7 linked regions of the Macaca fascicularis genome follow. The protein of the gene in region 1 purifies or fractionates together with the protein of each later gene. This does not show direct contact. Links are inferred from orthologs where the notes say so. Each region holds a gene or a part of one and is shown in the gene's direction. Other genes may lie near its edges. The genes, in order: ACTL6A, DPF3, SMARCC1, SMARCD3, BRD8, TRRAP and PHF10.

What was found.
Region 2: the proteins of ACTL6A (region 1) and DPF3 purify together in Homo sapiens (affinity purification with mass spectrometry; 4 studies listed by BioGRID and IntAct, counting the BioPlex papers as one, with this or other methods). This does not show direct contact. The link is inferred for Macaca fascicularis from reciprocal best matches to the Homo sapiens genes ACTL6A and DPF3.
Region 3: the proteins of ACTL6A (region 1) and SMARCC1 fractionate together in Homo sapiens (co-fractionation; 8 studies listed by BioGRID and IntAct, with this or other methods). This does not show direct contact. The link is inferred for Macaca fascicularis from reciprocal best matches to the Homo sapiens genes ACTL6A and SMARCC1.
Region 4: the proteins of ACTL6A (region 1) and SMARCD3 purify together in Homo sapiens (affinity purification with mass spectrometry; 3 studies listed by BioGRID and IntAct, with this or other methods). This does not show direct contact. The link is inferred for Macaca fascicularis from reciprocal best matches to the Homo sapiens genes ACTL6A and SMARCD3.
Region 5: the proteins of ACTL6A (region 1) and BRD8 fractionate together in Homo sapiens (co-fractionation; 4 studies listed by BioGRID and IntAct, with this or other methods). This does not show direct contact. The link is inferred for Macaca fascicularis from reciprocal best matches to the Homo sapiens genes ACTL6A and BRD8.
Region 6: the proteins of ACTL6A (region 1) and TRRAP purify together in Homo sapiens (affinity purification with mass spectrometry; 7 studies listed by BioGRID and IntAct, with this or other methods). This does not show direct contact. The link is inferred for Macaca fascicularis from reciprocal best matches to the Homo sapiens genes ACTL6A and TRRAP.
Region 7: the proteins of ACTL6A (region 1) and PHF10 purify together in Homo sapiens (affinity purification with mass spectrometry; 3 studies listed by BioGRID and IntAct, with this or other methods). This does not show direct contact. The link is inferred for Macaca fascicularis from reciprocal best matches to the Homo sapiens genes ACTL6A and PHF10.

The regions. Positions count from the first base shown.
Region 1 is NC_088376.1:91,315,539-91,319,732, forward strand, and holds the start of ACTL6A (actin-like protein 6A), read left to right. Parts: upstream 1-1,394; 5' UTR 1,395-1,491; coding exon 1,492-1,702; exon of another isoform or gene 1,703-1,758; intron 1,759-4,194.
Region 2 is NC_088381.1:140,763,275-140,767,258, reverse strand, and holds the start of DPF3 (zinc finger protein DPF3), read left to right. Parts: upstream 1-1,184; 5' UTR 1,185-1,197; coding exon 1,198-1,229; intron 1,230-1,235; exon of another isoform or gene 1,236-1,409; coding exon of another isoform or gene 1,410-1,818; intron 1,819-1,868; coding exon of another isoform or gene 1,869-1,942; exon of another isoform or gene 1,943-2,067; intron 2,068-3,984. Other genes in the region: uncharacterized protein, read left to right, coding at 1,410-1,818, 1,869-1,942. UniProt on the Homo sapiens protein: Belongs to the neuron-specific chromatin remodeling complex (nBAF complex).
Region 3 is NC_088376.1:110,703,931-110,708,200, reverse strand, and holds the start of SMARCC1 (SWI/SNF complex subunit SMARCC1), read left to right. Parts: upstream 1-1,470; 5' UTR 1,471-1,566; coding exon 1,567-1,761; intron 1,762-4,270. UniProt on the Homo sapiens protein: Involved in transcriptional activation and repression of select genes by chromatin remodeling (alteration of DNA-nucleosome topology).
Region 4 is NC_088377.1:192,524,447-192,527,946, reverse strand, and holds part of SMARCD3 (SWI/SNF-related matrix-associated actin-dependent regulator of chromatin subfamily D member 3), read left to right. Parts: intron 1-282; coding exon 283-494; intron 495-2,253; coding exon 2,254-2,296; intron 2,297-3,115; coding exon 3,116-3,238; intron 3,239-3,355; coding exon 3,356-3,478; coding exon of another isoform or gene 3,479-3,494; intron 3,495-3,500. UniProt on the Homo sapiens protein: Involved in transcriptional activation and repression of select genes by chromatin remodeling (alteration of DNA-nucleosome topology).
Region 5 is NC_088380.1:144,666,394-144,670,358, reverse strand, and holds the start of BRD8 (bromodomain-containing protein 8), read left to right. Parts: upstream 1-1,165; 5' UTR 1,166-1,182; coding exon of another isoform or gene 1,183-1,201; intron 1,202-2,127; coding exon of another isoform or gene 2,128-2,161; coding exon 2,162-2,224; intron 2,225-3,965. Other genes in the region: kinesin-like protein KIF20A, read right to left, coding at 1-115. UniProt on the Homo sapiens protein: May act as a coactivator during transcriptional activation by hormone-activated nuclear receptors (NR). Isoform 2 stimulates transcriptional activation by AR/DHTR, ESR1/NR3A1, RXRA/NR2B1 and THRB/ERBA2.
Region 6 is NC_088377.1:47,584,194-47,587,693, forward strand, and holds part of TRRAP (transformation/transcription domain-associated protein), read left to right. Parts: intron 1-1,672; coding exon 1,673-1,876; intron 1,877-1,961; coding exon 1,962-2,156; intron 2,157-2,687; coding exon 2,688-2,972; 3' UTR 2,973-3,500. UniProt on the Homo sapiens protein: Adapter protein, which is found in various multiprotein chromatin complexes with histone acetyltransferase activity (HAT), which gives a specific tag for epigenetic transcription activation.
Region 7 is NC_088378.1:1,310,907-1,315,001, forward strand, and holds the start of PHF10 (PHD finger protein 10), read left to right. Parts: upstream 1-1,295; 5' UTR 1,296-1,368; coding exon 1,369-1,455; intron 1,456-4,095. UniProt on the Homo sapiens protein: Involved in transcription activity regulation by chromatin remodeling. Belongs to the neural progenitors-specific chromatin remodeling complex (npBAF complex) and is required for the proliferation of neural progenitors.

The DNA.
Region 1 (4,194 bases):
AGTCAGGTAGTCTTTTCGCAGGCGCGGGAAAAAAGAATGAAAAAGAAGCAGGAAGAGCGCCATCTTTTAATGGCAGTATTAATACAGGGAAGAAGGTAAATCTAGGGAGAAGGTGTGGGGTGGAAATGAATATAGCTCAGGCGTTTAATCTTTAATTATTATTCACTATGGCCGGGGCGTGCAGCTCCGGACACTCCACCTCCTGGGTTCAAGCGATTCTCCTGCCTCAGCCTCCCAAGTAGCTGGGACTACAGGTGTGTGCCACCACGCCCAGCTAATTTTCGTATTTTTAGTAGAGACGGGGTTTCACTGTGTTGACCAGGCTGGTCTCGAACTCCTGACCTCGTGATCTACCCGCCTCGGCCTCCCAAAGTGCTGGGATTACACGGGTGAGCCACCACACCCGGCCTGAAATTTTTTTTTTTTTTTTTTAAGAAATTGATTTTTTAAATCGTTTTTAAAGCGCTACCTAGGTTTAGCTGGGATAATGCATCATTTCATTCTTCTTTTACTTATTAATAACCATTTAAAAAATTACAAGATCCTATCAATTTGTCTGATTTACTGATTCCCCTATCCCAAAGTGGAGCGCAAAATTTTTATTTCTTCAACCTAAAGTTAGTTTAAAATACTTTTTCTGAAGAAAAAAAGAAAGAAATCCACATTGCCCACAGTCACTGGACAGGAATCTCAGCGTTGAGACACACGTTCAATTTCCAGAAGTCTACCTTCCCCTACCCAGGTTCCCGCAGCTCCTCAGCGCCCAGCCGCACCTCTTACGCCCCTCCCATGCTTCCCTCCAGCCTTCCTCCTTCTTCTCCCACTGCCTCCGCCCACTCTCTCGCCCACCCGGGAAGCTCCGCCCGCTTCAGCTCCGCAACCCAACTCCTTCTGTCCGGCTGTCGCTTTCCTCTTTCCCCGCCCCCATGGCTGCCTTCGATTGGCTAAACCTGCTGGGCCGCGGCGGGGATGCGGCGCAGCCGCATTCTGATTGACTAAACGTAGGCCTGGACCCTCGTGATTGGCTGATAGGAGGAGACAGCAAGTGTAGCTGAGCTCCGGGGTGTGTGGACGCCGCTTTGTTGCCTGAGGGGGGTGGCGGTGGAAGTTAAGGGAGTCAGGGGCTATCGCTTCTCGGGACTCGCAGTCGGGGCCACTGCAGTCACTTCTCCAGTTAGCCCTTAGGGTAGGGGTCGCGCCGGCAGCAGCCATGAGCGGCGGCGTGTACGGGGGAGGTGAGTGAGTGCGGCCGGAGGAGAGAGCGCGCGTTTTCGGCGTGTGGGGTTTGTAACCGCCGCTCCCAGCCCTCCCCTCCTCGGCGTTCCCTTCCGGTTTCCCCCTCTCGGGACCCCGGCCTCCCCGCCCCATCCCCGCCCCACGCTCTGCCCGCCCCCGGAGCCCACCAGGCTCGGCCAGCGCCTCGGGCGCCCTGGAGTGGTGGCTCTCTGTGGCCGGTTCCTGCCTCTGCCCCCGGAGAAGCAGGGTTTTGGGATGCACGCTCGTTTCTCTAGAGAGCCTCGGGGCTGGGCGGGAAGCTCAGTCCAGCCGGCCGCCGGGCCCGGCTTGCGTTACCGCCCCAGGGTCGCATCTCCACGAGTGCCTCCTGGACTCGGCTGTGTCGGGGCGCATGTGCTCGCGCCTAAACTTGGAAGGTCCCGGCGGTTTGCAAGCGTGGACGGAGGGTTCCCAGAGCGTCTCACAGGTGGCAATGCGAGCCTCAAGCCGTAGAACTGACTAGGGAAGCGGCGGCCACTTAGGGTACTGCCTCCTCCCTGTCTGTGCCCCATGCGCGAGCTGCCTCACCTTTCAGTAACTCCTGCCTGTTTGTTGGCTGCGGAGTCTCCAGAGTGACTCGTGGGCGGGTCTGTTTGAGATTAATTCAGGAGCACGTGTAGTTTAAGGATGCCCAGAAAGTTTGCCGGGGGTCCTAGACGTCTTGTTTTTTCACTTATCCTTGATTAGACTGGTATGGCAGAAAGATTACCAGGTGCGGGGGGTTACAGACCTGAGTTGAAATATCCGCCTCACTGTTGAGCGCTTTGGTCTTAGGCAATTTACATAATTTTCCAACTTCAGGCCTCATTTGTGGAATAATTCCTAGCCAATGGGGATGGGCGTGAAGGTTAAATGAAATAATGCTACATTTGCCACTTAAAGTCTGGTCCATGGACCAGCAGTGTCAGCATCACCTGCAAGCCTGTTAGAAATGCAGAATCTCACGCGTCATTCAAAATCTACTGATTTAGAGCCTCCATTTTTGCAAGATCTGCAGGTGAATCAAAACACTGATACATATAATTAATGTTTTGGGTTGTGTTTGATGAGTTAGAGACCCAGAAAACAAATCCAGACTATTGCTATTGTTGCTGTGTCTAGTAGTGATGCTGTTTCTATAAAGGATGTCATTTTACAGGTAAGATACAACAAAAATAAGATTTTTCCTTCATGTTCCCCAAGAAAATCACATCACCCCTAAACTTGGAAGGAGAAAAACATTTAAATCCTCAAAAAAGAAAAAAAAGCCTTTTTAGTAGAATAGAGGTTCAATTTTTTTTTTTTTTTTTTTTTTTTTTTTTTTTTTTGAGACGGAGTCCTGCTCTGTCGCCCGGGCTGGAGTGGGCTGGAGTGCAGTGGCCGGGTTTACGTCATTCTCCTGCCTCAGCCTCCCGAGTAGCTGGGACTACAGGCGCCCGCCACCTCGCCTGGCTAGTTTTTCTGTATTTTTTAGTAGAGACGGGGTTTCACCGTGTTAGCCAGGATGGCCTCGATCTCCTGACATCGTGATCCGCCCGTCTCGGCCTCCCAAAGTGCTGAGATTACAGGCTTGAGCCCCCGCGCCCGGCCGAGGTTCAATTCTTGAGGATTTTTATACACTAGAAATTGCATCCTAGGTTTTAAACATCCAGAACTCTGTGGTTCTTTCTACTAAGCCTCCTGCCTCCCATTGCCACTCTCCTACTTAGGGTTCATGGGGCTTGATTTTTAATGAAGCAGGGTACAGGAATTAGATGTATCTCCCATCCTGAAAAAGGAACAGATGTAAAATTCTAAGAATTTAGAGTCTTAAATTAAACTTCCACCATATCCAGTTTACTAATTAGGGCAGGAAAATGAGCTGATATGTTGGATTTTTTTCTATTTCACAAAAATGTTTTTTGAGCACTATGTGGCAGGTATAGGCTGTTGTCATCAAGAAGTTCAGTCTTGTAGATGAATCCGTTAGGTAAATAGACACCATATTTCACCGATTCTTAATTGTACATTTTTCCCACATTTAAACAGCTGAAGTTGGAATATGTCTTTTGTTTGTTTGTTTGTTTTTAATAGAGACGGGTCTTGAACTCCTGAGCTCAGGCAGTCCTCCCGCCTCAGCCTCCCAAAGTGCTAGGATTACAGGTTTGAGCCACTGCCCCCAGCCAGAATATGTCTCAGTAGTGCTGGCCTGGCAGAGTTTTAATTGCCATATTATTTTCTTAGTGATGCCGGAAATAGTGGTGCATCATGTAGTTGATAGCATCTTATATTGATCAGAAATGGTAACTGTAATTCAATGAGAGCTGTTCATTGATAACAATATGTAGAAGGGGCCAGGTGCGGTGGCTCACACCTGTAATCCCAACAACTTGGGAGGCTGAGGCGGGCGGATCACTTGAGGCCAGGAGTTCAAGATCAACCTGGCCAACATGACAAAACCCTGTCTCTACTAAAAATACAAAAATTAGCCAGGCATGGTGGCACATGCCTGGAGTCCCAGCTACTGGGGAGGCTGAGGCACAAGAATCACTTGAACCCGGAACTGCACTCCAGCCTGGGTGACAGAGCAGGACTGTATCCTAAAAAAACAAAAACAAACATATATATTTATATATGTTATATATAATTTATATATATAATATATATAATTTTTATGTTATATATGTTATATATATTTATATGTTATATATTTATATATGTTATATATATTTACATATGTTATATATATATAGTGCAAAAGTAGTTCAGAGAATAAAGTTATTGATTCCATGTGGTGGAGTCAAGGGACTTTACAATAGAGGTAATGGAGATGATGGAGGAGGAGTGGAAAGGGACAACATATGCAAAGGTTAGCTGAGAGTATGTGGTGTGTTCAGGAGATGACATATTACCCAGTAAGTCAGTGTATGAGGCAGGAAGTGAGACTGCTACCAGATATTG
Region 2 (3,984 bases), on another chromosome or scaffold:
CTTCTGTATGCTAACGAGGCCCCTACCCTATTCTCGATTTAATGCGGTTTCATCCACGCAGAGCTTCCCGGTGCCCAGTGGAAGCCTGACTTCGCAGAAGTCTCCCAATTTTGTCAGGGGCTCGCCAGTGAAGAGTTCACACTGACTTGAAGCAGACACAGACTCTTTGGACGCCTCGGGTCACATCGGATTATTCACTAGCAAATTCTTTCCACCTTCTAAGTAGTGAAAGGTGACGTCAGAATCGCGTGTGCCACTCCTCTAAAGGGACTCTGACAACACCCAGTCCAGGCTCTACGACTTCTGCCTAGGCACTTGCTTCCTAGTAGTAGAAAGTTTCCAAAGGTTGCCTCAAGTCCTCCCTACCTCTAAGCCTAAAGGTCAGAGCTCCAGGTCGCACCACCGAGCAGGAATCTGAGCATTTTGGAAGTTTCTGGTGTAGGGAGCAGAACAGAAGGGGTGGTAGCGGCGGACCGCGCAGAGTAACCCCCCTGCACTACGTAAAGAAAGCCCTGGCTGCAGGAGGGAGTGAGCCTGACATTGAGGCATTCCAGGGGGAGGGTGAGTTGCTGTCCTGGAGTCGCCAGGAACAGCAGCGGCAGTTCCAAGAAGCGAGAGAGGAAGGTGGCGGAGATAAAGAGAACACTTCGGGAATAAGAATATTAAAAAGCAGCAGGACCCAGAGCATTAGCAAACGGCAAAGCACACGAAGTAATTTGTTACACGAAGCGGCAGCCTTCCAACTTTTGTACTGAAACACGGGGATTTACCCTTTGGGGGATTAAAAATGTTGATATGCAAAGCCAAAAGCTAATGAATAGGATTCAGTGGCTTGCTGGCAATATTGAAATATTTCTGTCCAGGAGCGCAAACTCTGCAGTTATTTAGAAAAGTAGGGAGTTGAACCAAACTATAATATTCTCCCGTGCGTCTCCACTTTCCCCAGCCCGAAAAGGAGCTGCCAACGCGGTACTTCCCCTTTAAGACCTGCTGGCTCTCGGGCTCTACAAAAGGGAGTGACCTCTGGGCTTTGACAGCTCCCCTAATAACTACCACCGAGCAGGCCCCGCCCACCTGGCGACCAGCCGCGCCGATTGGCCGGCGGGCCGGTATCCCGCGCTCTGATTGGCCTGTCGCTTCCCCTGAGCGAACCTTTAGAACTCTGAGACAGACAATATTCTGTTACATTGTAGCAAAATGGCGACTGTCATTCACAACCCCCTGAAAGCGTAAGTAAGACTAAAAAATGTACATATTCCGCGTGGTTTCAATATGAAAAAAAAGGCGCCTTCTGCGTGGCGAGCGCTGCCAGTGCTTGCGCTTGCAGGCGCCTCCAGCCGCGGCGGGGCTTCTCTCTTCTTTCAGCTCTTACTTCTTTTTTTTCCCCCAACGCGCAGAAATGTCAGGAGATGCAATTAACAAGAAGAAAATTGTTACATTTGTGTTCTGCTAAATTGCAGAGAGAGCGAGAGATAGGGGTTGCCGGCGGAGGAGCCCGGCGCTCGAGCGCTCTACAGCAGGGGGGTCGCGGGAGCTCGGGGACAGCGCGGTCCCTGGAGTCCCCCGCCTCGCGGGCAGGGAGCGAGGCTCCGGGGGCGGCCGGGCGGGGGGCGAGCGTCGGGCCGGGACTGCCTCGGTGCACTTGGCCGAGCCCTGCACCCCCAAGCCCGCGGCCCCCGCCCCGCCGCTGGGTCTGCTGGGTCCGGCGGACGCACCGCGGAGGCTCCGGAGTTTGCAGGGCGCTCTTCGCCTTCCGATCGCTCGCGGGGAGTTTGTGCAAACCTTCCGGAGTTGGGAGCACCGCGGGGGAAGCAGCGGGTCCCGGGCGCGCTGGGTCCCAGGTGGTCGCCCCGGGCTTTCCCCGGCAGCCCCCGGATCTCGGAGGCGCTCCGGGCGACCGCGCGTGTGTCTGCTCGTGTGTTTGCGAGCAACCTGGCTGTAGTGGATTAACGACTCGGGTTAACTTGGGGTGGATTTGGAGGCAGGGAAGCCGCAGGTCTTATGAATGGTGTTCTCGCCACCTCTGGGTGAGGCGCCGAGGCAGGCGGAGAGGCGGTTTTGGGGCTCCTGGCCCGAGGGGGCAGCGTCTGCTCCCGGCCGGGCGAGGGGCAGGTGCCTCTGGCCGCCCCGGGGAGACTTTGAGCGCTTGTCCAGATCCTGGACAGAGTGGGGCGGGCCGGACGAGCACTCGCGGGGGCCAGCCCCGGGTCCAACAGCCAATTTCTGCCTGCCTGCCTGCCTTCCTCCTCCTTTTCATCCTGGCTTCCTTCCTTCCTTCCTTCCAGTCGGTGGAACTGTTAAGCCGCCAAGTCCGCTCGCGATCGCGGAGCCAAGGGTGGCCTCGGAAAACTAGTGTCGCTCTGAAAGGGGTGCTATTGGGTGATGTCGGCAGAGGGTGGCTCCCTCCGTATTCGAGGTGGGCTGGGGGTCCGCACCCCTTCGACCGGGACTTCCCCGCCCGGACGAAGCCGCAGGCAAAGAGGGGGAGAGGGAGGTGCGGGCCGGGTAGGGGGCGGTTCGTGCCGAATTCTCCCTGGTGCGTGGCCACTGTCGACCCTGCTTCTTTTAATTCAGCGCATTCTCGTCTTCACCCCTCGCCACTCCTGGAGTTGAAAACCAGGTTCGCTCCCGGAGACGGTAGGGGGGTTCCTAACGCAAAGGAATGCACAGGGAGAATCAGACGTGTTTGCACCAGCTCGTCGCCCACCAGAAATAGGGAAACGGGTAGGAATGCCCCAGGTTTCAAAGATATTTATATGAAAGCTGCCGTTAAGAGGACGTTGGAAGCTGAGGCTGAGCAGATAGGAGCTCCCGGCTTCAGTTCTGCCTCGGAAGCTCGGATACACTGCACTTGAACGCCACAGCGTTTCATCCAAGAAAGAAAATGTTTTATGGCAGAATAAATGGGCGTAACTTCGCCGCATCCTCGCTGCCGGTTGCTTTCGCTGCAACACCGCTGATGCTGTCTCTACCGAACCCACAACTGATTTGCAGTTTCCCCATATCCAGCCGAAATCACATAACCAGGCTGATGCCACCTGGTAAACTCAAGTTAGAGAATCTATTTCACATGTGCACCAGGTTTGTTTCCTACTGGGAAAGCCGTACCCTAGTTACCCGGGAGCCCGCTTTCGCGCGGGCGGGCGCAGTATCTCTAAGCTTCAGTGTTCCCCTGCTCGCTCCAGGGTTTTTTTGGATCACAGTAGGGTGCGCGTTTGGGGAGGGAGTCTGTGTAGGGTGGGGTTAAGGGTGGGGGAAGGGACAGACGGGGGGGAAAGAAGGTGGCGGAATCCCGGCTGGTTAGGGGAATTAGTTCTGAATTGTACTTTGTATAATTAGAAACAGTTGCAATGTGATGTATTTGTAATTGTGCCGCCACACGCATGCACACACTAGCATACACACAACGCCCCTGCTTGCTTTTTCTAGGTGGGAGTTGAGTGGTCATTTATAATTAGCCATTCCTTTCTGCTTCCCAGACCCTTTCCCTGGGGGTAAAGGGGTGTAAACAATACCCCTGACCAGCCCAGCCTCTCACACCCTGGACAGTTTTTAACTCCTAATGCAGGAGCACACACGTTGTTATTGGGAGACGGACACCATCTGCCTTTTTTTTTTTTTTTAAACAACTTGTTTAATAAAACATCTTATATATTTCATTTGTTTTTAAAAGTTGCTGATCAGGAAACAATACAAACGTGAATAAATTATGCATGGGATAAATTAGAACAAAGTGCAGAGACACATCCAGCCGAAGGGATGGTGGTGGTGCAGGGAGGAGGGGTAGCGGAGAGAATGGTTTGGAGAGCTATGTTTTTATCCTCATGTGTCCCTCCTGACAATGAAACAGAGCTGAATGACATTAGCATTTTCTCTGTGTGCGTTCTGAGTCTCTCTCTTCCCTCCAAAAAAAAAAAAAAAAAAAAAAAAAAAAAAAAAAAAGCCAACACCACGGACGCCCCCTACAGAAAATGGTCACACAAA
Region 3 (4,270 bases), about 19 Mb from region 1:
CCACGCGTGGCTAATTTTTGTAGTTTTAGTAGAGACGGGGTTTCACTATGTTGGCCAGGCTGGTCTCGAACTCCTGACCTTGTGATCAGCCCACCTTGGCCTCCCAAAGTGTTGGGATTACAGGCGTGAGCCATCTCGCCTGGCCCTCCTGATCACATTCTATTCATTTTTTTATTTAATATATTTTACTGTCCGTGACACAGCCCTCAGGAGATCCTGAAAACGTACATACCCTCATTTTTAAAAGGTCTCAAAACCTTATCAGCAGTTAGTCACTTTCTCATAAGCAATTAGTTACTTGCTTCTCTGAGATCATATAGCATTATGTTCACAACTCCATTATGGCCAGTCGTACTTTTTGAAACAGGGTTTTGCTCTGTCGCCCAGGATGGTGTCGTGAGTGGCGCGATTATAGCTCACTGCAGCAGCCTGCATCTCCCCAGCTCAAGCGATCCTCCCACCTCAGCCCTCCAAGAGGCTAGGAGCACAGGCTTGCAACACAATGCCCGGCTGCTTTTTGTACTTTTTTGGAGAGACGGGGACGGGCGTGGCGGTCTAGAGCTCCTGAGGTCAGTCGATCGTTCCGCCTCAGCCTCCCAAAGTGCTCCACGCCCGGCCAATCATACCTTGATAATTTAAAAATTTTCGGCTTCTATATGGGCCATTCATTAATTCATCAAGTATTCACTGTACATGTATTCATTGTCTCAGGTGTTCAGGATACACCTGTGAACAAGTTAAGATTAGGTTCTCATGTAATTTATGTGGAAGGTAAATGAGAAACTAAAAACACCGGGTCATGGTAAGCGCTACGCAGAAAGTGTATGGGTGTGAACAGTTCAAGATTGTAAGATATGACAACGGCTTTCTGAAGTCCTTTGAACCAGTGAATCTGAACGCGTCTCATAAGTGAAAATCAGAAGGGAAGACCCGCTGAGGTCTCCGAAACAGCCGATGCAAGGGCCCGTGGGGGCAGGAATGAGCCGCTGTGGCTGGACCCCTGAGGGAGTGGAAGGTCTGTGAAGCCGAAAAGCCTTGGCGTGGGCGTCCCAGATGGCTCTTCCCAAATGCCGCCGGGCCGCTGGGGGTGGAGGGTCTAAGGGAAAGCCGGGCCCGGCGCACTCGATACCCTAGGCAGGCTTTCCCCTCGGCACTTCTCGCACCAGACCTTTTCCCTTCAGCGGAGGCAGGCTATGACACAGAATCAACCTGCGGTTGTTAACCGCATAACGATTCGACGTCGGTAGCGAGGGAAGAGCATGGCTCAATAACCGGCACTCACTAGGGGAGAACGGAGCCTACAGAGGCTGGCGGAAGAGGCGGCTGGACGTGCTAGTCCAAGGCGCGCCCGCACGAGTGCTGCGCATGCGTATGCGCGGGCTCGCGTCGGATACGGCGCCAGTCCCGAGAGGGGGCGGGGCCGGGCGTCCGCACCGGAAGGGGGTTGGCTGGGCGGGGCCGGGAAGCGGCAGTGGCGGCTACGCGCGCGCGGGCGCGCGCGGGAACGAACGGGAAACACCGCGAGGGCTGGGGTGGGCCAGGCTGTGGGGACGACGGGCTGCGACGATGGCCGCAGCGGCGGGCGGCGGCGGGCCTGGGGCAGCGGTAGGCGCCACGGGCTCGGGGGCCGCGGCGGTAGCCGCAGGCCTAGCCGTTTATCGGCGGAAGGATGGGGGTCCGGCCACCAAGTTTTGGGAGAGCCCGGAGACGGTGTCCCAGCTGGATTCGGTGCGGGTCTGGCTGGGCAAGCACTACAAGAAGGTGGGTTCGCGCGCCCATGGGGGCCGGGAGACCACGCGACTGGGGCCGGAGGCGGCATCTGGCCTCGCGGGCCTCGGGCCTCCCCTCCCCCCCGCACGCCACGAGGGACAACAAAGGCAGGCGCAGGGCCCGCCACGCCCCCGCCGTCCGCTCTGGGCGCCCGCGCGCCGGTGGCCTGACGGGTCAGGCGCTTGTTCTTGTGAGCCCACGCACCCCTGGCGAAAGCCCCTGCTCAGTCTCGTGTGCCAGAGCAGGTCGAGCTCAGCCACTAGGCGAGTGTGACTCTCTTTTGTCAGCTGCCTTAGGTGTATGAACAATGATCCCTAAAGACCGAGCAAGCGTGGTAAAAGCAGCTTCAAGTTTTGTTTAGAGAGTATTCAAAGTCTCGAGGGGGTTTGCTACCTGTTGTTGATTTGCTAAACGACTGGGATGATTGTATTCGTTAATTACTAACAGGTAATGTGAATTCTAGGATGGATGAGAGCTATTAACGACGGTTTCTACCTCATTGTGCTTCTGGTTCTGTGTGGCGTGAGAGTTAATGTTCACTTGTACGTAAAGTGTTCTTCAGGGAGGCCTTCCGAGAACCCAGTTTTTATTAGAGCACTTTTCTTATGTCACCTTTATTTTCTTCGTAGTGTTTACCACATTTTGAAATTAGTCATTTACTTATTTATCCTACCTTTGGAATGGAAGTTCCGCCGAGTCAGTAGTTTTCAAAGTTTTGACTTAATCCCTTGTTTATAACATTTTTTTTTTCTCCAACTTCCCCTTTGTGTAAATATTCCGGAGAACTCCCTTAAAGGGTGTAATGAAGCAGGTAGTCAAAAAGGCTCCCCAGCCTCTGAAGTTTTCCTATCACCCTCTTTAATTCTGTACTTTCTCCTATTGAGGATCATAGCACTGAAGAAAGGGCTTTGTTCACTACAGTGTATCCGGGAACGTGGCTGATACTTAGTGCCTTACCCTTAGTAGCTGCTTAGTAAATATTTGTTTAATGAATGAAAAGATAAACTAGGAACCTATTTATTTGGCCTTTACAGCTCAGTGAAGCCTGTCAGTGTTTGGCAGTTATTAGGCATGGGCAGGGATCTTGGGTTCCTTTGGCATTACACGTGGTACATTCGGAAATGACCATTTCTGGCCGGGCGCGGTTTGGGAGGCCGAGGCGGGTGGATCACCTGAAGTGAGGAGTTCGAGACCAGCCTGACCAACATGGTGAAGCCCCGTCTTTCCAAAAAATACAAAATTAGTCGGGTGTGGCAGCACACGCCTGTAATCCCAGCTACTCGGGAGGCTGGGGCAGGAGAATAGCTTGAACCTAGGAGGCAGAGGCTGCAGTGAGCCGAGACCGCACCATTACACTCCAGCCTGGGTAATAGAGTAAGACTCTGTCTCAAAAAACAAAAACAAACAAGCAAAAAACAAACCCCAGAAATGACCATTTCTTTCTTTCTTTTTTATTTTGGAAGTTCAGCTGGGAAAAATTACATTTCTTGTCTGAAGTTTGAGGAAGTGAGAGACAGTAATTATATTTTTAGGTGCTTGGACCCCCCCCCCAAATTACATTTAGACTCTAGATGTTTAGTAATATTGCCCTTTCTTACACAGTGATAAATTGGTCACTTTTTATTTTATTTTATTTTATTTTTGAGACGGAGTCTCGGTCTGTCGCCCAGGCTGGAGTGCAGTGGTGCGATCTCCGCTAACTGCAAGCTCCACCGCCTCCCGGGTTCACGCCATTCTCCTGCCTCAGCCTCCCTAGAAGCTGGGATTACAGGCACCCACCACCACGCCTGGCTAATTTTTTTGTATTTTTAGTAGAGACGAAGTTTCACCGTGTTCGCCAGGATGGTCTCGATCTCCTGACCTCGTGATCCGCCCGCCTCGGCCTCCCAAAGTGCTGGGATTACAGGCGTGAGCCACCGCGCTTTTTAAACGTAGGTAATAGAGCTTCCAGGAGTGGCTAGTGGGATTGAATATGTTATGAAAATATTGGTTAATTCTTTCTTATTACATTCCTTTTAGCCAATGCTTTGGGTCTTAAATTCAGTGAAGCTTTAACAAAGAAAAATAATCTAGAGATGTTCCTTTGAATATCAAGGAAGAGAGTAGAAAAAGGCAAATTTCAGTAATTTCTACCTCTCCACACTGTTCAGTGTGCATCAGTTTGGGACCAACTACAAGAAGCTTTAGGTGTGGATAATCATCTTCAGATATTTGTTTGGGTGGGTAGGGAAGTGGCTACAAAGCAGTTTGAAGAATTGCCCAGTAGTATTGAGACCACTAGGCTAATGTTGATTCACTATCCCTGAGACTTTATAGACAAAGTTGTCTTTGACTTCTCAGGACTTTGTAAAGCCAGAGTGTATTTCTGTGGTCTACTGAGATTGAGAATCATATATGCCCTAGGCCTGACAGCCAGAATCTTTTCAGTCTCTGGGTGTTAGTGTCGAAGTGGTGAAAATATTATCAGAAGGTTCTTTGCTTCTTTTCTACACAATGCATT
Region 4 (3,500 bases), on another chromosome or scaffold:
TTTTTGCGGTACCTTCCGTAGCCCCGAGGCTCGCAATGCCCTGTGCGGTGCCTGGCTTCAGTTAGCTTCCTACAGCCAGACGCCAAGCCCCTCCGCCAGAGCCGCGCGTATTCCGGCGCCCCTGCCCCTCCTACCCATCGTTCCCACCCATCGCTCAGCGCTCAGGGTCACCAGCCGAGGGTCTGGTGGGGGAGGGGAGACGCCGGCTCACCGCGCCTGGAGCTGGGGGCCCTGGTCTGACCCACGGGCGCCCGTTTCTGCTTCACCCCCGCCCACCCACAGCGCCCCGGGATGCCGTCTGGAGCCCGGATGCCCCACCAGGGGGCGCCCATGGGCCCCCCGGGCTCCCCCTACATGGGCAGCCCCGCCGTGCGACCCGGCCTGGCCCCCGCGGGCATGGAGCCCGCCCGTAAGCGAGCAGCGCCCCCGCCCGGGCAGAGCCAGGCACAGAGCCAGGGCCAGCCGGTGCCCACCGCCCCCGCGCGGAGCCGCAGGTGAGTGGGAGGCCCGGCGCGGAGTGGGCGTGCAGGGGCGGGCCCTGGGGACCCGCAGGGACCAGGTGAGAGAGTAGCGGGGATTGGAAGAGGTGAGGAAGAATGATTAGCAGGGAGCGAGGCTTCCCGGATCGGATGCCCTCTGGGGAGGTGGGCTTAGGGGGCACCGGCCTGATTCTTTTGTGTGCCCACGGTAGAGACAGGCTGTGGCCGTCGGCAGCCGGTACCGCTTCCCTGCACGCTCCCCTCACCCTTCTCCTTGTCACCTGCTCAGTCCCTCTCTCCACCCATCAGGTTCTGGGTGATGCTTAAGTCTTTGGGTTGGGGGCGGGGCTTCCAGTGGGACTGAGGGCAGAGCTGTAGGACTGTGTTGCCCAAAGTGTAGTTCTCCGCTGAGCCTTCCTGCCAGACCCCGGACTGTTTCAAAGCCACTCCAGATTTTCTCAATGGGACTCTCTGGCCCTGGGGGTGGAGCTTGGGGATTTGCCCTGTGGTAGGTGGTCTCTGCCCAGTTCCGCTCTTAATTCTTAGGCACTCTGGACCAGGTCTGCTCCCAAGCCACCAGGGCCAGCCCATTGCCTTATTTTCCTCCAGCAGCTGGTGGCACCCTCAAAGCCCCTGCTGGCTCCTGGCAACAGCAGTGCCCCTCTGGATTTCAGTATTTAGCCAAATACACATGCTTTTTTTGCACAACAGATGGATTTCTATAAAAGGTGTAATATCAATTTTACCTCATTATTAAGTATTTTTTACACATCAGGGAAAATTCACCACTTATAGGAATCCCATGATGAATTATTTTGTAAAGTGCATCGTCATTTTGTACAGCAAACGGTAATTCCCTGATTTATCTTGTATAAATGGAGAGTTACACAAAGATAATCTGTCTAAAACAAACCAGACCTTTAATGAAATCTGCTTGTTAGCCTTAGATTTCTGCATAGGGAGGGGGTAGTGGTTGAGAACACCACACGGGGGCAGTATGGAGCTATTCTCTAGGCTGCGTTTTCATCTCTTGACCCGCCAAGGTTTTTCTGGGGGTTTTTGGGTTAGTCAGCAGCAGCTAGTGGGTCAGAAAGAGCTCACATCCAGCTGCTACTACCCTGGGCCTAGTCAATTTGGCCTCAGCCTGAAGTCACACCCATGCACATTCTGGGCGCCTATGGCTGCAGCATGTCCCTCACCTTGTTGCCAGGTAGTCCCAGGGCATGAGTACCCCTGCTCATCAGCATTCTCTTGCAAGCCCAGGGTGCCTGGAAGGGATGCAAGTCCCGCCAGCTTCACACCATCACCTCCGCTCCATGGATAGGAAGGAAGTCGTCTATCTCCCTCCCTCTGAGCTTAGAATCCTTTGGACAGGGCACCCCCTGCTTTCCAGAAAAGGTCCTCAGACCTGGCTTCCCTCTCCTTTGTCCTCCCTCATCCCCACCTTTCCTCAAACACTTCTGCAGCTCCCATCTTTTGGCAGCACCACCCCCACTCGCCAGTCCCTCCTAAGTCTAAATTTCTCTGTCCCTAAGGATGTGGCAGGTTAGAAGGGGGCTCCCAGGCCAGAGAATGGACGGGTCACCCCTGTGTCCTTAGAGAGGACAGAGCACCAGTTCCACACACCACCGTCATAGCCCTTGGGCGGGCAGACAAGCGGGCTGTGGGAACCCCAGCCAGGCGGGCGGAGATGTCGGGATAATTTAGCAGGTGGCCTCGTTACTCCCAGATCTGTCGCCATGGTAACCTGGTTTTTTCTTTAAAAAATGTACAGTGCCAAGAGGAGGAAGATGGCTGACAAAATCCTCCCTCAAAGGGTGAGTGTCTTTCACAGCAGCCCCCAGCCCACCCCCTACCCTTTGCTGCTCTGCCCTCCCCTCCCCCCTCAAAAGCAGAGCTTCAGTGTCACAGTCACTTTCACTTTTTGTTTAAAAAAACTCATTAATAAGTGAGGCTCCCTAGGCCAGAGGGAGGGGGTGAGGTGGAGGGAAGCAGCAGAGCCACTGGGGCCAGAACACAGGGGCCTGTCAGGGGGCTGGATCCAAGTGGTACTAAGACAGAGTTGTGGGACAAGAAGGGGGCAAGAGCTAGGGGATCAAAAGCTGCCAGGCAGAATGAAGGGGATAGAAGGTGGCCAGAGATCCTGAGCATCCTAAAGGGACCCAGGTCCAGCTGGATATGGGGGACAGCACAGTTGGGACAGGTGTGGGGGCTGAGCAATGTGCCAGCAAAGAAGAAAGCACTGCTGTCCAACTGTCCCAGGGATTGAGCCCCTACTAGGCACTTTGCAGGGGCCCAGGGGAAGCCCAGTGGGCATATGACATAGAAAATGACAGGATGAGGAGACTAAAGGCTAGTGCTTTGCTGGGTTCCACAGTTGCTACCTCCTCCCCGTGATGATACACAAGGCTCTTCCTAAAGGGAGAAGCAATTGTTATCCCTACACAGCAAGGCCCCTACTGCTGGATAATGGCATCCTGGGGAGAGGTCCTGTTCCCACTGTCAAAGCTCCATGCCCAGAAGTAGGATGGCTCCCCCGACATCTTTTGCACCCTAGGATTGCACAACATGCATACATTCCATGGTACAACCCTGGACTCGAGCCTCTGACTCCTGCCCTGCTCCTCCTCCTCCAGATTCGGGAGCTGGTCCCCGAGTCCCAGGCTTACATGGACCTCTTGGCATTTGAGAGGAAACTGGATCAAACCATCATGCGGAAGCGGGTGGACATCCAGGAGGCTCTGAAGAGGCCCATGAAGGTGCCTTAGTTCGGGGGTAGGAAGGGGACTCTTGAGTCGCGTGACCAGGATGGGGAAGCAAGGTAGTCAGGGTGGAAGCACACAGCATTTGCCCGGTTCTACACTCTATTTCTACAGCAAAAGCGGAAGCTGCGTCTCTATATCTCCAACACTTTTAACCCTGCGAAGCCTGACGCTGAGGACTCCGATGGCAGCATTGCCTCCTGGGAGCTACGGGTGGAGGGGAAGCTCCTGGATGATGTACGTCCCGGCCCAGGTCTCT
Region 5 (3,965 bases), on another chromosome or scaffold:
GGTTCTTGCGTACCACAGACCCCAAATCTGCAGCTGTGGACTCAAACATGGGAGAGACTACGACATCGTCATCGGACAGCAAGCCCGCTGGCGGAGAAAGGATCCCTTGCGACATGACGGCAGGGGCAGCCTAGGTCTAAAAAGAGACCAAAAAGTGGGCAGGGAGAACAACCTTTAGGGACAGAAGGGGCCGCGAATTTTAGGTAATAAGTCCCTTGCCCCAGGACACCGGGTCCCGCTCCCTACTTCCTTTCCCCTCTAATTATCGGCAAAGGGGAATGGAATGAGAGAAGTTCACTTAATGAACAATCGAGAGAAGTTTGAGGTTGCATTTCTGAAAGCGAACAGAAGTCCACAGAAATCTGGCTCCAAAAGCAAAAGGCCAGGCCTAAAGTAGGGCACCTCGCCCGCCGGTGCTGTGGAGGTGGTGTCAGGATCCCTCGGCTCCTTTTCTAACCTCAACCCAAGGACCACCGTGAGAACAGAGATGCAGCATTAAGAGAAAAACAGATGGCTGCAGTTCCGATTTCTTAAAGCCTATTCCGCGTGGGCAAGAGCTGGTAACCCGGGCTCCAGCACAGCCGCACACTCACCCGAAGACGTGCCACTTGCTCCTCCTCGGGTACCGGCTCACTCACACCTAGTCGCCGAACCTGGACTTTCGCAGCCGGAGAGCACAACTCCGCCCACGAGGTGCAGCTTTGTTACCGATACAATATTTTAAATTACGCGCTGCGTTCGTTCGGCCAATGAGATAGGGAAGTCTGCAGCTACCAATCTGCGTAAGGAAAAGGGGCGGGTCCGACTGGAATTCCAGTAGTTTGCATCCGCTTGACCTCTCAGATCTAATGTGGGTCCGGGTTACCAACTGTCGCGGGTTAGGAGTTATTTCGCTTGGGATTCTTCCAGCTTAACCCTTTTTCTTGAACCTTAGACATTTCTTACCTAAGAACCCTAAAGGAAATCTTGAGGCTTCAGCCGCCAACCCCTGTCCTTCCTTAGCAAAAATCTTAAAAGGATTGCACAAGATAACTGGTTTAGGGTGCTTGCTTTGTCTTAGGGGAAAAAACGACATTTCCCAGGAGGCACCGCGAACCAACGCCGGTACTCTACTTCCCAGAATTCCAGGGTTTCGGCCCTACCAGACCGTCTCTCCTCAGGGTTGGAGACTTCGGGGCCAAGATGGCGACGGGAACGGGCAGTGAGTATCTGAGCAGGTTTTGCGTGAAAGGCGTTTGTAGATCCGAGGCTAGGCACCATATTTTTGTTACACGCTTAGGGAGTGGGAGAAGTGGTTTGCTTGAGAGCTCAGGGTTTTCAGAGACCTGCGCTCCACAGCATCGTGAAGACCAACGTTTGGGGGCCCAGAAATCTGGGGTCTTGTTTCTCAGGGAGGGAGCGGAGGTGTGAGAGAAGGAGCTTAGTGAATCCTAGTGTGTTAGGAGCCCTTCGGGGTAACCGTAAAAGCACTCTAGAAACTTGGGCGTGCAGACGAAAAGATGTTATGAGCCAGACGGAGTAACCGGCACCTCAAAGAGCCATTCATTTTTTGTTCGACGTTTGTGAGGCAGTGGAAGTGGGGCCTTTTAACCATGAGCTTTTCTTGCCACTCAGGAAATTGCATCTCGGGGATTTCAGCCATTTTTCTTTTAGTGGACTGAAAAGGTCTTTTAGGCCCGACATTTGGAGTAGAGGATCTGAGAGAAGTAAACAAGTTTATGCTAAGAGGGAGGCGGGGTTGTAGGAGGGGCTGGCCGCTCGGGTTCCTGGGAAATAAGCCCTGAATAAGTTCAAACTGGAATAAAGTCCAGTATTCTTAAAACTGGGCTTTTAGGGAGAACTGCCTAATCTGACATTCCCAATTTTTTAATAAAGCGGAGCTTCAAGCCGTGGCGTTTTAAGAAATAAAATGTTAATAATTCACATGCAACAAATTGGTACCACAGTCACTGGTGATACTTCACTTGGAGAGGTGAAAATCAAGATTTGGTGATAGTAGCTCACTTTGTCCTAACAAGTTGGAATATTTTGTATTAGGCTTTTAGTCCCCTTTTTGGGGATTTTGGAGCTTAGCACTACAGTCTCAGTGGTTGCTTCCAAGGCTTTTTTTTTTTTTTCGTTTCCCAGAACACAAGCTGCTGAGTACTGGCCCCACAGAGCCATGGTCCATCCGAGAGAAGCTGTGTTTAGCATCTTCTGTCATGAGAAGTGGAGATCAAAATTGGTAAGCTATCTAGGATGTCAGCTTTTCTGGGTCTTAGAAATTGTTAGATACTCTTTCACATTGATAGATTTCTGTAGTTAATCATATTAAGCTGTAAGTAGACTTTTTCTTCTTCCCTTTTTTTTTTTTTTTTTTTTTTGAGACAGTCTCCTTCTCTCGCCCAGGCTGGAATGCAGTGGTGCAGCCACGCCCAGCTAATTTTTTTAGTTTTTAGTAGAGACAGAGTTTCGCCATGTTGGCCAGGCTGGTCTCGAACTCCTGACCTCAGGTGATCCACTGGCCTCAGCCTCCCAAAGTGCTAGGATTACAGGCGTAAGCCACTGCGCCTGGCCATGCCTGGCTAATTTTGTATTTTTAGTAGAGACAAGGTTTCACCATGTTGGCCACGCTGGTCTCAATCACCTGACCTCATGATCTGCCCACCTCGGCCTCCGAAAGTGCTGGGATTACAGGCGTGAGCCACTGCTGCCGGCCTTTTTTTTTTTTTTTTGAGACAGGGTTGCACTTTGTGGCCCAGGCTGGAGTGCAGTGGTGTGATCTTGGCTCACTGCAACCTCCATGTCTGAGGCTCAAGTGATCCTCCCACCTCAGCCTCTTTAGTAGCTGGGACTACAGGTGCACACCACCATGCCCAGATAATTTTTTGTATTTTTTTGTAGAGATAGGGGTTTCATCATGTTTCCTAGGCTGGTCTTGAACTCCTGGGTTCAAGCGATCTGCCCACCTCAACCTCCCAACCTACTGGGATTACGGGTGTGAGCCACCAGGCCAGCTGTATTTTTTTTTTTTAAACAGCTTTATTGAGATATAATTCACATACTATAAAATTAACTTACTTAAGATGTACAATATAATGGTTTTTAGTATATTCACAGTTGTGCAGCCATTACCACAATCTAATTTTAGAACATTTTCTTTATTTTTATTTTTTTTATTTTTTATTTTTTGAGGCTCTTGCTTTGTTGCCCAGGCTGGAGTGCAGTGGCGCAATCTTGGCTCACTGCAAGTTCCGCCTCCTGGGTTCATGCCATTCTCCTGCCTTAGCCTCTCGAATATCTGGGACTACAGGCGCCCGCCACCACGCTCAGCTAATTTTTTTTTATTTTTAGTAGAGACGGGCTTTCACCATGTCAGCCAGGGTGGTCTTGATCTCCTGACCTCGTGATCAGCCCACCTCGGCCTCCCAAAGTGCTGGGATTACAGGAGTGAGCCACCGCACCTGGCTGACATAACGCTTTTAAGGTTCATTCTTATATAGCATGTATCAATACTTAATTCCTTTTTTAGCTGAATAATAATCTGTTATATGAATATACCAAATTTTGTTTATCCATCGCTTGATAGACAATTGGGTTGTTTCCACTTTTTGACCATTATGAATAATGCTGATGATACGCACATTTGTGTACAAGGTTGTGGACAATGTTTTTAATTCTCTTGAGTTTTTTATTCAAGGAGTGAAATTGCTGGGTTATGTAGTAACTCTATTATGTTCGCTTTTTTTTTTTTGCAGACAGGGTCTCACTGTCACCCAGGCTGGAGTGCAGTGGTGCAATCTTGGTTCACTGCAACCTCTGCCTCCTGGGCTCAAGTGATTCTCTGGCCTCAGCCTCCTGAGTAGCTGGGACTACAGGCACATGCCATCATCCCCGGCTCATTTTTGTATTTTTTGGTAGGGATGGGGTTTTGTCATGTTGCCCAGGCTGGACTTTTTTTTTTTTTTTATTTAAATATTTATGTT
Region 6 (3,500 bases), on another chromosome or scaffold:
TGTGGTTGAGGAAGGTTGAGCCCATGGTGTCCTCTGTGGCCCAGGGCACGGCAGGGCCCAAGGTGTTCCAGGCTGCAGGGTCAGGTGCAGCCTCCAGCTCTGCAGGCAGAGGCATGGATCCCTGTTTCTGATCAGCCTCTGTTGACAGAGTGCATGGCCTCTCGTGGGAACTGATGCCAGGGCTTTTTTGTGGCACAGGCCATGGCCTGGTCATTCTGTGGACAATGGGCAGTTCTGAGGTATTTGCAGGAGAAGAATGGATTATATTCTTAAGGCAACATTAACTTTCGACATCGTGGAAGCCAGTGACAAATACGTGCTGACCCCAGAGTCATCCTGTTTCTAAACAGCGTGAGTGTCCAACTGGGATGTTTGTTCCAGGTTAGCAGCTGTCAGGGCCTGTCGGCAGAGGGAGATGCCCACAGCACAGAGGAATCCAGCTTCAGAGCCACTTCCTCCTCTATGTGCCTCTTGTTTGTTTTGTTATTTATTCTACTCCTTCATTCTTCTCTCTTTTTCTCTTTTTTTGTTGAGATGGAGTTTTGCTCTTGTCGCCCAGGCTGGAGTGCAGTGGCATGATCTCGGCTTACCACAACCTCCGCCTCCTGGGTTCAAGCAATTCTCCTGCCTCAGCCTCCTGAGTAGCTGAGATTACAGGTGCCCGCCACCACGCCTGGCTAATTTTTGTATTTTTAGTAGAGACGGGGTTTCACCATGTTGACCAGGCTGGCCTCAAACTCCTGACCTTGTGATCTGCCCGCCTCGACCTCCCAAAGTGCTGGGATTACAGGCGTGAGCCACCATGCCCAGCCCAGCCTTTGTTTTTTTGGGTTTTTTTAAATAAATTTTAAAAAAAGCTCCTCAGACTTGTAAGCCTTTAGTTCCTAGAGTTCTGACAAAGTTGATTTTGGTGGTTTTGCCAGCATTCTAACTGCTTCAGGAGCAGACTTTGGAAATCCTTTGCCGTCTCAGAAGTGCTCCTTCCCGTTTGACAGATGAGGAAACAAACTGCGTGTGTGGCCAGTGGCCTGCCTTGTTCTTCCCGGTGGAAGGCAAGAACTTTCTCACGACCTTTCTCACGTTCTGCCTCACGGCCATTCGGAGCACGTGGGTAGGACTTAGTCTGGAAGAGACCCTGTGCCTCTACCAGATGGTCGAACAGGAACTCCATTAACTAAGGAAACTTTCTGAGTTGGTGATGTCTGCAATAGTCCATGAGTACGGAGTTCAGTCTCGAGTGTGTGTGTGGTTAGACCAGCTCCTTCAGTTTGTGAAATATTGGTCATTAGTATAAGGTCTTGGTTGGAAGTGGTGCTGCTGGTGTCCGGCTGTTGTGTTCTGTTAATTGGCCTGATACCTTCTGTGGTCAGCAAGGGTGGAAGTGTCAGATACTTGCCTGCATTCTTGTCAGGTATCGCATGTCAGGTAACTGCGGCTTTGGCGCAGACCAGCTGCGTTGGTGCTTTAGAGCAGACGGCGGCGAACCCTGGACGGAGGCAGCCATCTTGCGCCTCCTCACGTTCAGTCTCCTAACAATGCGCGTGTTAAATCTGTCACCAGAATTTACTCTCGGTGCTAAGTTAAAGAGGAATTGCAATTTGAGAGTTTTTCTTTTGCCAAAAAAAAAAAATCAGTGAGTGAGATGGGAGTGTCACGGGGTGATGTGTTTCAGGTCCTCCGCGACATCCTCAAGGAGGTTCAGAGTAACATGGTGCCACGCAGCATGCTCAAGGAGTGGGCGCTGCACACCTTCCCCAACGCCACGGACTACTGGACGTTCCGGAAGATGTTCACCATCCAGCTGGCTCTGATAGGCTTCGCGGAATTCGTCCTGCATTTAAATAGACTCAACCCCGAGATGTTACAGATCGCTCAGGTAACCTGGTTTGAACTGCCAGATCCTCTCCTCGTGACATTGCCTTTCTGCTGAAGTTCCTAAAGTGTCTCCTTCTGAAATTTAGGACACTGGCAAACTGAATGTTGCCTACTTTCGGTTTGACATAAACGACGCCACTGGAGACCTAGATGCCAACCGTCCTGTCCCGTTTCGACTCACGCCCAACATTTCTGAGTTTCTGACTACCATCGGTGTCTCCGGCCCGTTGACGGCATCCATGATTGCGGTTGCCCGGTGCTTCGCCCAGCCGAACTTTAAGGTGGGTCTCCGCGTCGTCCTGTCATGGGCACAGGCTGGGGCCACTCAGATGCCCAAGCGCCACGGCCTTGCAGGAGCTGCTGATCTGCCTCACGGGCTCTGCGTTCTCCACAGTGGCCGGCACCCGTGTTACGTCCTTTGCTGTGCGGGCAAGGGATGGTTTTCTCTTTGGTTCACTCTCGTCTGTAGTGCTTGGAATGGGCCTGCTGGACACTGGGCAGACGCTGGAAGGCGTCAAGTGAACAAATAAAAAGATCGGGCCCCAGTCGCAGCATGGCTGCCTTTGCCGTCCGGGTCTGTGCTGCCCAACACGGAGGCTTTCTGGCTGCTGCTCCAAGTGGAGGAAGGGGTTTGTCCCTCAGCGGCTTCCCCAGCCCATCCTGAGAGCACACAGCCTGGCCTGGTGCTGAGGCTTGACGGGCCCTCGGTGGCCCTGGGCGGCCACTGTGGTTGAGTCCCACCCTGTTAGGAAGCTGCCCCTCTGGGCTGTTCTTGGTTAAACACACGTCCTCTCGTTCTCTCCCTCACGCAGGTGGACGGCATTCTGAAAACAGTTCTCCGGGATGAGATCATTGCTTGGCACAAAAAAACGCAGGAGGACACGTCCTCTCCTCTCTCGGCCGCCGGGCAACCGGAGAACATGGACAGCCAGCAACTGGTGTCCCTGGTTCAGAAAGCCGTCACCGCCATCATGACCCGCCTGCACAACCTCGCCCAGTTCGAAGGCGGGGAAAGCAAGGTGAACACCCTGGTGGCCGCAGCGAACAGCCTGGACAATCTGTGCCGCATGGACCCTGCCTGGCACCCCTGGCTGTGACCGCGGCCGCCATGGCCACCCGCAATGTGAAGGGCGCCCCAGGCTCTGAGCCCGCAGCTTATACGACTTGTCCCTGCCTCGTTCCTTTTATTCTCAGAAGCCCCGCGGTTCCACTGGGTTGCAGTTATTTTCCTGGTAGTTGGTGTGTGAGAGGGAGAATTTAGTTTTAGAGGAAGCTGAACTATGACGACGCTGGGCGAGGCGGTTAGAAATGGCAGAGCTGAAACTTCCTGCAAGCTTTTAAAATAATCTTTTAAGAAACCAGGATTCTCCGGTCTGGAATTTCTGGGTGAGCCCTTTTTTTATGGTGTCCTCTGTCTGTGAACGTACAGGCGGGACTGTGCGAACCGCTCCTTACCATCCATTTTTAACTCTTTCGGAAATAACACCTCACAGCAGCTTCCTGCTTTTGTACAGACCTTTGTAACAAGTGTACAGAAAACCCGTTTGGTTTGAGAAACAGATGATGAACCCATCGTGCTGGTTTTTCTCTGAGCACAAACTTTTAGGCTGTACGCAGCCAGCCTT
Region 7 (4,095 bases), on another chromosome or scaffold:
GCAACACTAATGAATGGAAAGGAGACAGGATTGTACTTTAAATCCGACAGCATTTTTTACTCTCCAGAACAAGTCATCTGGAGACGCAAGCCAGCTGTATGGCGGGCCGCCCCGGACCAGGCTCGGCTCCTCACTTCCCGCTGTTTTCAGTGCGGTCCTAGAAGTGCCCTGATGCAGCCCGACATCAGTAATAAATGCATCTGAAACCCACCGGCTCCCACGTTCTCGCGGGGGTACCTGCCAGGCCGGCGTCCAGGCTCCTCCCCGGCTCCCGGCCGACCGCGTTCTCGGCGGAGGCATCAACCACGCGGGAACGCAAAGCCGCGAGGGCCAAATCTCAGCGACTTCTTCCCGCCGTGCCTCCCGCACGCTCCGGCGCGGGCGTCGACAGCCCGCGGGGACAGCTTTGGATGCTCGGGGAAGCGCGGCCCTGGCAGGTGGCTCCGCGGCTCTCTCGGAGCGTCGCCAGCGAGAGGGGCGGTCCGAGAACAAAGGCGGGCGAGGAGCGACGACTGCGAGCGCACGGAGGCGGAGGCCGCGCAGTCTCCGCGCGGCTGCTCCGAGCAGGGCGACCCCCGGCAGGGAGGGGGTGGGGCGGGGACCCCCGGAGGGGCGGGGCGGGGCAGGGCAGGGCGGGCGCCACCGGGAGAGAGGAAGGGAGCGAGGGTGACGCGTGGAGGGGCCGGGCCGGGGGCCGCGGGGAGGGGGCGGCTGCGAGCGCGCCAAGTGGCGACGAGCCGGGCCGGGGCGGGCCGGAGGGCGGGCGGGAGGTGGGGCGCGCCGCGGGCTGGGGGGAGCCGCGGTCGAGTACAGCGCCGGGCCGTGGGGAGTCAGGCGGCGGCGGGGCTGAGGCGGCCGCGGGGCTGAGGGGAGCAGGGGGGCTGAGGCGGCTGTGGGGTTGAGGGGAGCGGCGGGGCTGAGGCGGCGGTGGCGCTGAGGCGAGCGAGCGGCGGGGCTGAAGGGAGCCGCGGCGGCGCTGTGGGGGGGGCAGCGGCGCTTAGGCCATCGGCGGAGCTGTGGGGGGCGGCGGTGCTGAGGCGGCGGCCGCGGCCGGGCGGGTTGGGCTGACGAGAGAAGCGCCGCCGCCGCCTGGCCTCCTCCATTCCGGCCCGCAGCCCCGCGCCCTTCCAGCCTCTGGCGCCCTCCCGCGCGGGCAGCGCGCTGGCGGCGGCCATGGCGGTGGCGGCGGCGCTGGCGGGCCGCGGGGCGCGCGGCGGCAGGGGCCGGCCCCCGGGCGGGCGGGCGGAGGGGGCGGGGCCGGGGCGGCGGGGGGCCCGCGCGGCGGCGGCGGCGGCGGCGGCAGCGGCGGCGGCGGCCGGGACGAGGCGGAGGCGACGGCGTCGGCGGCGGCGCGGGGCGCTCGGGCTGATGGCGGCGGCGGCCGGGCCCGGGGCTGCGCTGTCCCCGCGGCCGTGCGACAGCGACCCAGCTACCCCCGGAGCGCAGTCCCCGAAGGTGAGGAAGCGGCCGGTGCGACCCGACCCTGACCCCGTCCGGGGCCCGTGTGCCGGGGCCTCGGCCCAGTCCCACCGGCGGCCGCCTAGCGTCTCGGGGGCGTGGGCCCCAGGCCGGGCTCCGCGCCTGAAACCGGGGGTGGTCGGCCAGGCGGGGCCCCGAGGGGAGCCCGCGGCCTCTAGCGAGCAACAAGTGCGGGCGGGCGGGCGGGCGGGCGGGGGACGCGGCGCGGCTTCCCCGAAGTTGGCGGCCGGCCCCGCTTGACAAGCTTGTCCCCAAAACGCCTGTTCCGGGGCTAGCCGCGGAACGGAACGCGTCCGGGGCCGAAAGAGTTGGCCTCGGAGGGGCCTGCAGAAGCGCGCTAGTTCGCTCAGTCTTCATTCCGCGCATAGTTTGCTGAAGTGTTTGAAAGCTTACTGCAAAAAACCGAGTGGCGAACGATATGGAAAATCAACACACTCAGTTTGTGAACTTAGTGTAATAACTAAGTAAATACGCAAGCGTCCGGATGTTTTCGGCGGAAGTCTTTTTTTTTTTAAACTTTTTACTGCTTGAGGAGGTGAAAAATTGGTGTTTGTGGAGAAAATGGAGATGAGCAGTAGAGTGTCACGCATCAAAACGTTTTGGTTCCAAAGTTAGGCTAGCAGTTTGTGACAGAAGGTTGGAAGGGAGGAATGATGTTTTAAAAGCCTCGAAACTTGAAATTGGGTTGAAATTAGAAGGCGGCGGGAACTGAAATGCTTCAGAGCCAGCCAGCCTTCGTACGGTGTGCGGTGTGCGGTGTGCGCGTTGGCAGGGGAAGCCATCCTGTGGCAGCCTAGCGGGGCTGCGCCTGCCCGGGAGCTTTTCCCGTTGCGCACGTCTGTCGTGCCGTAAGAGAAAGACTTGTTTTGAAGGTTCCTCAAAGGCCCTCGCCAATGGAAGTAACTAGATTGTAAGACTCTGAATGCACAGCCTTGCACTTCCAGTGTTTGACGTCTGGCCCGGCACCTGGAGGGCACTGAGCTAGTGCCCACTGAGTGCATTCTTGACCCCTGAGCCTTAAGAAGGACGTGATGCATAGAAATTCATCTGATCCGTAGGTGGAAACCACCTATAACTCTGGAAGGCACATCTCTGATTTAGTACATTTGGGAGTCTTTGAAAACATGGGCCTGTGTATCAGTATTGCGATTACACGGAAATTCTTACCTTATTCCGTCGTGTATTGGGAACAATATTGCTGTTACTACCTCTCTCTAGAAAAAGGCTCTCTGCCCAGATGCTCACTTTGTATAATAATGCCTTTGCCTAGAATTTGTACTAGTAATTTAAAACACTTTTTGAAATTGTAGTCTCAGCTTTTTTGAGCACTTTGCATTTTTAACTATTTTTGTATATTTTTGAGTGTCTCAATTTTTTAGCTAAAGGGAAATATACTTAAGTTTAAGGACATAAAAATCCTTAAAATGCTCACAAATAAAATAGAAAAAAAATACTGGAATGTTTAAAATGAGTTATGTTAAAAGTATTGAATATGAAATGTTGCAGTTGTGATACTTATGCAAATTTTCAGAGAGTAGATTTAGACTGTGCAGAGCTCTTTAATGAAATGCTAATTTTATAAGGACTGAAAAAGATTATATATTTTACTATTTGGAAAGGAACCAGTAAATTCCTAGGAGCTAGGGACATTTGAGACTTTATTATCATAATCATCATTTTAACTAGTATTTGTCAGATAATTCGCTAGTCCTTGTTCTAAGTACTTTTAATATAGTAGCTCATTTAATCATTGAATTAGCCATGTAATAGGGGCTCTGTTATAATCTCAAATTTTCAGATAAGGAGATGCTTACAGAGAGTAACTTACTCAGCTAGTAAGGGACGGTGCCCAGTGAGAACCTAGGCCGTCCAGCTCTGGCATGCCTGGCCACTATACCATATTGCCACTTTATATTCTTTTGTAGGATTCCTTTCATTTTAATATGTAGCAAGAACACCATGATATTTAGCAAAATTGGATTAGCGTTAAAAGCTATATTACATTTTAAAAATTATGATTTTTTTAGACCTTAAGCTTTGGCTGATAAGTAAATAAATCAATTTCCTAACATCTGATACATTTTCTGAGTGCAGTGTTTGAATTTATAACCTTCATGTTCTTGCCACATAATGTATTACATTAAAAATATATAAGCCTCTTCCTTAAAAAAAAAAAATTCCCCTCCCCCTCTCAAGGTTCTTTTTTTGAAGTGTGTGTTGCTATATTATAGATTGATGACCCTTACTAGGGTATATTTTTGCTAACCTTTAGCAATGTAAGAGGAAGAGTGAATAGTTAGAATTGTTTTCAGTCTTGTATGTCCCCTTTTCATGGGGACATAAATGCCTAGTCAATTAAAATAGTCCTATGAACCGACTCCAAGTTGAACTGGGAACTGTAAATGATCCATACATTTTTTCCCCCCTGGGCTTGGGTAGGAGAGTTTGCTTTAATCCTAGAGTGATGCAGCAGTTTTATGTGTTTATGAAGAGCAGAAAGCATTTTAACCTCAGTTGGCAAGAAAGCAAAAGCAGATTTACATTTACGGGTTAATTGAAAATACTCTTATTTTGATTGGATTGAAGATCAGTTTTAAATTTTATTCCAGGTCTTGC